2 linked regions of the Tribolium castaneum genome follow. The protein of the gene in region 2 purifies or fractionates together with the protein of the main gene of each other region. This does not show direct contact. Links are inferred from orthologs where the notes say so. Each region holds a gene or a part of one and is shown on either strand. Other genes may lie near its edges.

Evidence for each region. Proteins that work in one complex are often made in the same cells at the same time.
Region 1: the proteins of PAN2 (region 2) and PAN3 purify together in Homo sapiens (co-immunoprecipitation; 5 studies listed by BioGRID and IntAct, with this or other methods). This does not show direct contact. The link is inferred for Tribolium castaneum from reciprocal best matches to the Homo sapiens genes PAN2 and PAN3.

What each region holds. Positions count from the first base shown.
Region 1 is NC_087394.1:25,733,676-25,737,620, forward strand, and holds the start of PAN3 (PAN2-PAN3 deadenylation complex subunit PAN3), read left to right. Parts: upstream 1-1,140; 5' UTR 1,141-1,158; exon of another isoform or gene 1,159-1,233; intron 1,234-1,397; 5' UTR 1,398-1,473; intron 1,474-1,524; 5' UTR 1,525-1,532; coding exon 1,533-1,607; intron 1,608-1,653; coding exon 1,654-1,777; intron 1,778-1,879; coding exon 1,880-2,043; intron 2,044-2,093; coding exon 2,094-2,331; intron 2,332-3,945. Other genes in the region: FAD synthase, read left to right, coding at 1-118, 283-633, 681-947. UniProt on the Homo sapiens protein: Regulatory subunit of the poly(A)-nuclease (PAN) deadenylation complex, one of two cytoplasmic mRNA deadenylases involved in general and miRNA-mediated mRNA turnover.
Region 2 is NC_087399.1:1,478,121-1,482,433, forward strand, and holds part of PAN2 (PAN2-PAN3 deadenylation complex catalytic subunit PAN2), read right to left. Parts: intron 4,313-4,313; coding exon 4,168-4,312; intron 4,121-4,167; coding exon 3,825-4,120; intron 3,716-3,824; coding exon 3,074-3,715; intron 698-3,073; coding exon 474-697; intron 425-473; coding exon 93-424; intron 47-92; coding exon 1-46. UniProt on the Homo sapiens protein: Catalytic subunit of the poly(A)-nuclease (PAN) deadenylation complex, one of two cytoplasmic mRNA deadenylases involved in general and miRNA-mediated mRNA turnover.

The DNA of each region.
Region 1 (3,945 bases), on a different chromosome or scaffold from region 2:
ATTTGAGAGGAAAATCAGTGACAGGTTTCAAAATTATAATTTAAAATTTATCGATAATTCAGACGTGTGGGAACACGTGTACTCCAGCAATGAAACACACATCAAACATGCAATTGAAGTAAGTAAGAGGTAAGACAGTGTACCCGCCACTGGTTTGACTCATCGTAGTTGTCACCATGACAATCCCCATTCATGTCCTGCTGTATTACCATAGTTACAGCACGTTTCTATGGCAACTGGAGGAGCCATGTGCGACTCGTCAAATAATTTTGTTTTTTCCAGAACATTGAAGAGTGTTTGCAACAGTACGGTTTAGAGAATATCTTCGTGAGTTTCAACGGCGGAAAAGACTGCACCGTTTTGCTCCATTTGGTTTTAACAGTCGTCAAGAAAAAATTTCCTCAACATTCACAACCAATTCCCTGTCTTTACGTCCAAAGTGAAAGTCCCTTTCCCGAGCAAGACGAGTTTATTGACTTGTGCAAATGCTACTATAATTTGAAAATAATGGTCATTAACGCGGGAATCAAGGATGCTTTGGGCCAAACTCTGGAAAAATATCCAAATTTCAAGGCATGCTTTATGGGGACGAGACGAACAGATCCGTACTCAGGCGATTTGACAGTTTTTCAGGTATTTTTCGTCAAGTTTTGAAGGTGTTTTTGAGAATTTGGTTACAGATGACTGATTCCAATTGGCCTCAAATACTCAGAGTTAGTCCGGTCCTGGACTGGCATTATTCCGATATTTGGGATTATTTACTCTTCTATAAAGTACCGTACTGTAAATTGTACGATTTGGGGTTCACCTCGTTGGGGAACACCGTAAATACGAATCGGAATCCCTCTCTTAAGTGCTACGAGCCGTTTGACGAGGGCGAATTTTACTTACCGGCTTATAAATTACTGAAAGAGGTTAAGGAGCGCAATGGACGGAATACGAGTTGATTTTCGGGGAAAAACTAGCTGAATTTATTTCTGGGGGTGGAAATGTAGCAAAATACATAGATCGTACTTTATTATTTATTGTATATGTTGGTTCTGTAGAGTTTATTAATGTTGTTTAATAAAAATGTGAAATTGTGTTTTATTGGTTGTTTTAATTTAAAATTGGCTCCGGTCAGCGCTGCCAACTTGCAATCTACCAACCTGACAAAAGGTGCGTTGTGTTAGCACTATCATATTTGTTTTTTATTTTCCGATTATTATCGTTATCTTTTGCACGGTCTCGCAGGTATTTGTACCTTTTTGCGCCCTTGGTCACATAGTGTGTTTTTGGCAAAATTGGCAACAATTAATTTTTTACATCGCCGACAAGTCAAATCAACACAAACAAAATGGCGATTATTTTCAGCAAATTTTCAGGTGTCAGAAGTAAATAGAAATAATTAATTTCAGTTTTCAGAAAGGGGGTTTTGTGCGCGTTCAGGTTTCTCGACTAAAATGTTTCCATCGCATGGTTTTTACTAGAATTGTGAGCGGGGTCGTTGAGGGGTTACAATATTGTAACGTCTCTTTGTTTCAGGGAATTTAATGGATCATCAGGTTTATTACCGGTTCGCACAAACGAATGGGGTTCCCCAGGAATCTAAACTAGCAAATTACATGGTAAGGTGTTTACGTAACGTTTCAGTTACGGGATTTTCGTTTGTAGAACATTCAAAATTCGAGTGGTAGTTTGCACCAGTCGTTCCAAAGCAAGTTGAGTATCGAACCGAAAAAACCACTAACGAGTCCCCAATGTGTTGGAGGGACAAGTCTGGTGTCCAGTGCTCCAGGTATTGTGTAACAGCTGGTGGCCTTGAAACCCCAACTGTTTTCTTTTTTCCATGACGCTCTTGGACCCATTGACCTCTCCTAATCTAATCATTTGTTTTCAGCTTCACCCAACATTTTCAACTCTTTCACCCCAACGCTAGACCCTTCGCCCATTCGATGCGTTTCTGACCACCCAGAAAATTCCAGTCAATCAGCTTCACCCAATCGCGTCAGCAGCTGTTCACCCATGTCAGATGTAAATAACATAGCTGTTGCGGCATATCAGGTACTCCAGACCAACCGAAAGCCGGTAATACAGGGTCCGCGTGCTTTTAGGAAAATGTGGGCGGGACAACGTACTTTTACCCAACCACCTCGGAAACTTGTCACGCCACTGATGTTGCTGTCAATAGCAACCTCACCTCGGACTACAATGTGTACCCAGGCACCCCTAACCACATCACTTCACTTAAGGCCAAGCAGGGCGCCTCGTTTTTCATATCAAAGGACCTCCAGATGGAGCTGATGAATCGCAACGCCTTGACGCTCATGCAGGCCAATCAGCAGTACGCAGGTGATTGTTTTTACCGACCGTTGTTTTATTCATGGCCAACTAACATCAATTGTCGATGAGCTCCATTATCACATCTTTCGTTTCCAATTCTCCCAACCTAAAAATTCTTATGAGGCGCCATATCTTCATTAACATACGAAGCAAGTAGTAGATTGATTTTATAAATTGTTTTGCAAGTAAAAAAGCTATTATTTTTATGTTCGGTTTTTTAAGTCGTTAATAGGCCTAATCTTATACTAGCTATCTTTTCTCATAATTATCTTTCACCTACGATGGTTATTATTAGGCTCGAAAACGCTCATAAACCAATAAACCTTCACTGAAACATTACTCACAAACGAGAGGTTTTGTTTACTAGATTTTCCCCAAAATTTCCTTTGATATTTCCTTCAAAATTTCTCCTGATTTTTAAAAAATATTTTTCTCAATATTTTCTCTAAATTCTCTTAATTTGGTTAAGATTTCTCCTAATATTTTAAAATACTGTTTTTTTGTCATTTCCTTAAGATTTTCCTTGAATGTTTTTATAATTTTTCGCCTTTTCTCAAGATTTCCCCTAATTTTTGAAAGGATGTCCCGTCATTTCCTCACGATTCTTCTAATTTTTTTTGTTTTTTTATATTGATTTTTGGCGATTTGCTCTGGTTTCTTCTGATTTCCTCAAAAATCCCTGATGATTTTCCGTGATTTTGTCAGGATTTCCTATAATTTTTCTCCCCTCCAGATCGTTATAAAAAATAAATTAGGAATAAATGGAATTTCGAGTTAGACTCCAGTGATTTTGTTTCCTAGTAATTAATGTTATCTTTTTTTAACAAAAAGCAATAATAATAAAAAATAATAATAAAGCAAATCAGCTTTATTTTACATGCAATTTTTTGAAATGTATCAACAGGACGACTTGTGTTCCTAATGTGTCTTTCAATGTCTTCAAATTAATTTGTCAGATTTCAGCAAAGGCTAAAAATCGTTTAAAGTTTCTTAAAAAACATGTTCATTTTTGTAATTTGTTACAACTTTATATAATTTGCATTTTTTCTAAACATCAAGAAACATGAAAATTCAACTAATCAGTTTTTACTCGTATGTGGTATATGTTAATACGTTAATTCAAAACTTATATTAAAATAACGTTCCATATTCATGTCCAAATTTCATTTCTAGAATATTTTTCTCTCTTTTGATCAAGATATTAGTCTCAAAGGAATGTGTACCTGCAAATATTGAATAATAATTTTCCTACAACACTATTCAATTTTAGTGTTTCTATTTGAATGTTTTTGGTCTCTTATATGGTAGACAATATTTTACTGTACAGGGGTGTACACAAGAGATATTCAGTACGCTATAGCACATATTCCAACAAAATCTAGAAAGATAATAAAAATTCTCTAGATTATTCATAACAGCATTAAAAAAGCAAAGAGGGGAATTTTTTCTTTTAATTTTTAAAATTTTTTTAATCGGCGATATAACCAAGAAAAGGACCAGAAAACTAAAAATATCATCTGGTAATAGTTAAATAAAATCCATAGTTGCAACTGGTAACTACTGTACAACAATTGAAATAGATTCGGTGAAAAGACTCAAGTACTGGGTGTTTCAAAACTATAA
Region 2 (4,313 bases):
CGGGCATCTTCGACCGAATCGTGCGTTTCCGACTGTATTTTAACACCTACAAAACCACGTGATTCCTGTCACTAGCTTGGGGAATCCCCTACCCAAAAAATGCCACGCGAGGAAACGCAGCGACACCATCCGGTGATGAGGTAGGTGAAACAAATGCACAGTGTCGGCAACTTGCTCAGGAGGCACCACTAAGTTAATAACCCTAAAGTCGTTCTTGAGCCCATGCCCCACGAAAATAACGCCACTGTCGAGCAAAAAGCGCAGTTTTGTGTACGTGGACTTTAAAGTCGTCAGGTGTTTTGAGCTGAAGTTGGCGTCCAAATCCCCGGGTTTGATTCCCGAGAATTTGGTCAAGTAGTCAACCACTTGTTCCTGCGTGGAAATATAGTCGTCGATGAAAGGGACGCCCTCCATGGGGCCCGACCTGAATTATTTTTTATTTTATTTTATTTTTTTAATTTCTTGTTTATTACCCCCGAATGCATGTAATTCGCGCAACGGACATTTGCGACGGTTTTATCATTGACATTTTGCCGTCACTACGTAGCTCAGCCTCCTCCTGGTTTAGTGTCACAAATTCCGCATCCATTGCGACTAAGTCGCCCTTTTTGGGGAATTCGTTGTCTGTTAGTGGTGTGAAAGTGATTGCTGAGGTGCCCCAACTGCGGGCTATGCACGCGTCTTCAGTGAAGACTTCCTGTTCACAAGGTTAAATAAAGAATTTTTTTAATTATTTTTATTCAGTGTTTTCTAATCTTTAGTCTCAACCGAAATAACGAACGAAAAGTAATTCATTCTCTGTCGGAAACACAAGAAATCATAATTAAACGGCCAGTTTTTTACTGGCTTTGCTATTCGTTCGGTGGGAATGCATTGGTCCGTCAATATCCAATGACAAACGCCTTTAATCGTGTTGCAGTTTTTGTTCGCTAGATAAACTGGGAGGAGGTAATTTTTACATTTTTATTGGTCAGTTTATGCATTCGAGGAACAAATGAGGCGATAAACCGGCTTTGAAGGGCTGGCCCCTCCCACTAGAACTTCGTTTTAGATGCGAATAAATGGCGAATATTAATCGACTCCAATTTTTTTTTCTTAGAAAAGCGTTTGTGTAGAAAGAAGTTTTGATGAAAAAATCGAAAATCAAACAAATCGCTATTTAAATAAATTACTACGTTTACGGACACCTTACTTACAGATATTTTTACAAACACTGTTGCCAATGAAAAAAATTGTTACGAACAATTCGTTCGAAATTTATGTTATTCTAGCCGGTTTTATTCGATATAAATATTTTGTTTTCTCCCTTATTTTACAAGGTTTGATTAAAAAACGTCTAAAAGACAAAAATAAGACGAAATTTGTGACATGTTACCTGCTTTAGTCCATAAATAATAAAATGGTGATAGTGATATCCTTACCTTTTCAAGCCCCTTAGCTGAAAATTTGCGTCGAAATTGATTTGATGATTTAATTTTGCTTATTTTACTGGATTTAACTCGTTTTTGAGCAAGAAATAAGTTCTACGAACATTTTCCAAAGCAAATTTTCGTCAAAAGTGTTATTAAACACAGTTTTTCTGCGAAATTTCGCTAGGAAAGACCGAAAAAAAGCACCAAGTCAAGTCTAACGCTACATAATACTTGACTTTTTCGAGAGTTTTAGTAAATTTTTCAGCTAGAAAACCAATTATTTCGCAAAATTTTGTTAAGAGTAAGCCGAAAAAACACCAAAATAGGTGGAAAATTGTACTATTTTGCCTTTTTCGAAAGTTTACGCACATTTTCGAAAGCCAAAACAAACAATTTTAATCCAAATTGATATAATTTTATCTTATTTCGCTCGATTTAGCTTGTTTTTGAGCAAATTTTTTTTTAAATCAGCCAAAAAACCTATAAAGTGTGGTGGAAAATATGTTATTTTTATGTTTTTGAAGCAAATGTTTAGATTATGTTCTCAGTTTCTCACTAAACTACTTTTCTTTTCCCGAATATTTTCAATGGTTTCAGCCAGTAAAAGGAATTAAGTCTTAAAATTTTCTGAGAAACAAACCAAAATTTCTGAAAACTATGTAAATTCTGCTTCCTTCAAATTTTTAAATACGTTTTTGAAACCAAAACCAATTCTTTTATTGGAGTTTTTTTTTGTAAAAATTGGTGAAAACTAGATTTCGACCAGATTCATTTATTATCCAAGAACAATAAATTTTTAGCAAAAGTAATGTTATTTCTGCCTTTTTTTTGGGCATTTAAGCACGTTTTAGAGTAAAAATCACAGTTTGGTAACCGAGATTTTGCAAAAAAACACCGAAAATTACCAACTTAGATCCAAAATTATCTTATTTTGAGCACGTTTTTCAGCCAGAAACGAAATTATTTCGCAAAATTTTATTAAGAGTAAGCCGAAAAATCACCAAAATTGGTGGAAAATTGTATTATTTTGCATTTTTTGAGCATATTTTTTAAAGTCGAAACAATTTTAATCCAAATTGATACCATTTTACCTTATTTCGCGCGATATAGCTCGTTTGTCAGCAAATTTTTAAAAAAATCAGCCAAAAACCTGGAAAGCTTGGTCGAAAAATTTGTTATTTTTATATTTTTCAAGCAAGTAAATACGTGTTTAGGTTACATTCAAAGTTTCTCGTCAGAAACAGAGTGAACAAATTAATTATTATTTTTTTTCCGAATATCTTGAACGGTCAAAAATAATGTTATTTTTGCCGTTCTTGGGCATTTAAGCACGTTTTAGAGTTAAAATCACAGTTTATTTACCGAGATTTCGCTAAAAGACGCCGAAATTATCTTATTTTTGAGCACGTTTTTCAGCCAGAAACGTAATTATTTCGCAAAATTTTGTGAAAAATTAATCGAAAAGTTCCTTCTTTGACTCTCGTTGAGGTCAAAACTAAATTTTTTTCAAAAAATTTACCTAAAATTAGGACACGAGACAAGAAAATGTAACCAAGGCCAGTGATTTCGTAAAAAAAACTCCGGACGTTTGTCATAAATCATAAAGAAGATTGTCATATAAAACTGTTCTAAATTCAGTCATTATTTTAGTGGTACATTACCTTTGAAATCGGCGGGGAAATCTCGGACTTCGCCTTCAAAATCCCCCTCGAAGAGTAGTACAAAATACAGGGAATCTTCCAGTCCAGACTGAACCACACAGCTTCTTGCATCGACACTGTCGATATACTAAAATCATTAAAGAGATACCACTTATGTTCCGACTGCGTTGTCTCCGACAAATACGAATCCGGTACTTTAATCAACGCCACAATATTACGTTTTTCACTCGACGCCGGATCATTAATATAACAAACAACAGCTGTTAAATCATACAACTCATCTTCAACCCTCTCTTCCCCCTCAACTTCCTTCTTATCCTCAACTTTCTCAATAATCAACTCGCCCTCTTTGAGCGCAATCGAAATCGAATGCGGCAGCCAATTGTTACTACAGTATGGATTATTAACAGGTGCTGGGGGCGGAACATTATCAAAACTGTGTCTAAAGCGACACCCTGGCCGCGAACAGTGGTCACCGTAACGACACGGCTTTGACGAACTCAGACTATTAATCTGGGGCGCTGTTGGCGGAGCTGCATTTTCCGTGACCTTAGCCACAACCTTATCCATCTGACTTTGCCAAAACTGCTTATGCTGCGGGTTGTGCAAGCCCGTGTTAATGGCCAAGAGTTTGGGAAGCGACTACAATCACACAATTGGTGGGAAGTACAGATTAGTATAAGTTAGGATGCGAAACGACCACAAATTTTGTGTATCTCGTTTCGCCTCCTACGCTACGAGAGGGCGCCACCTGGAGCACGCGTGTTTGTTGCGTCGGTGCGAACTTCTTGCACTCTTCGCACCACGCCGGTGTGGTTTGTTGCGAGCAAAGCGAACGCGTTAAAATATCGCAAAAACTCCATTCGTCACGTTCCGGTTCATTGGTCGGATAGATTAGGTTGCAGACGAGTAAAATCGATTCTTTTTTTACTTCGAGTTTGCACTTGAGACACGAGTGTTTTTGGATTTGTTTGGCGCCCAGTAATTGGATAATTTCACTCTCACTGTCGCGCTTCTCCTGCTCCATGTTCGCATTAACTTCTGATGCTACATTAAAAAATTACACGAGTTGTATACGAAATTTTTTCTCCAACCTGAACACTTTTTCCGGTCGTCTATGGCGGGAAAATCGGTCACGTTGTACGAAAACGGCGTTTTGTTGTTTTTTCGTTCGGTGTTTTTCTTTTTGGCTTCGGCAAGTTCGACGTGCAGTTGGTGGATAATGAAGCGGTTCCAAGAC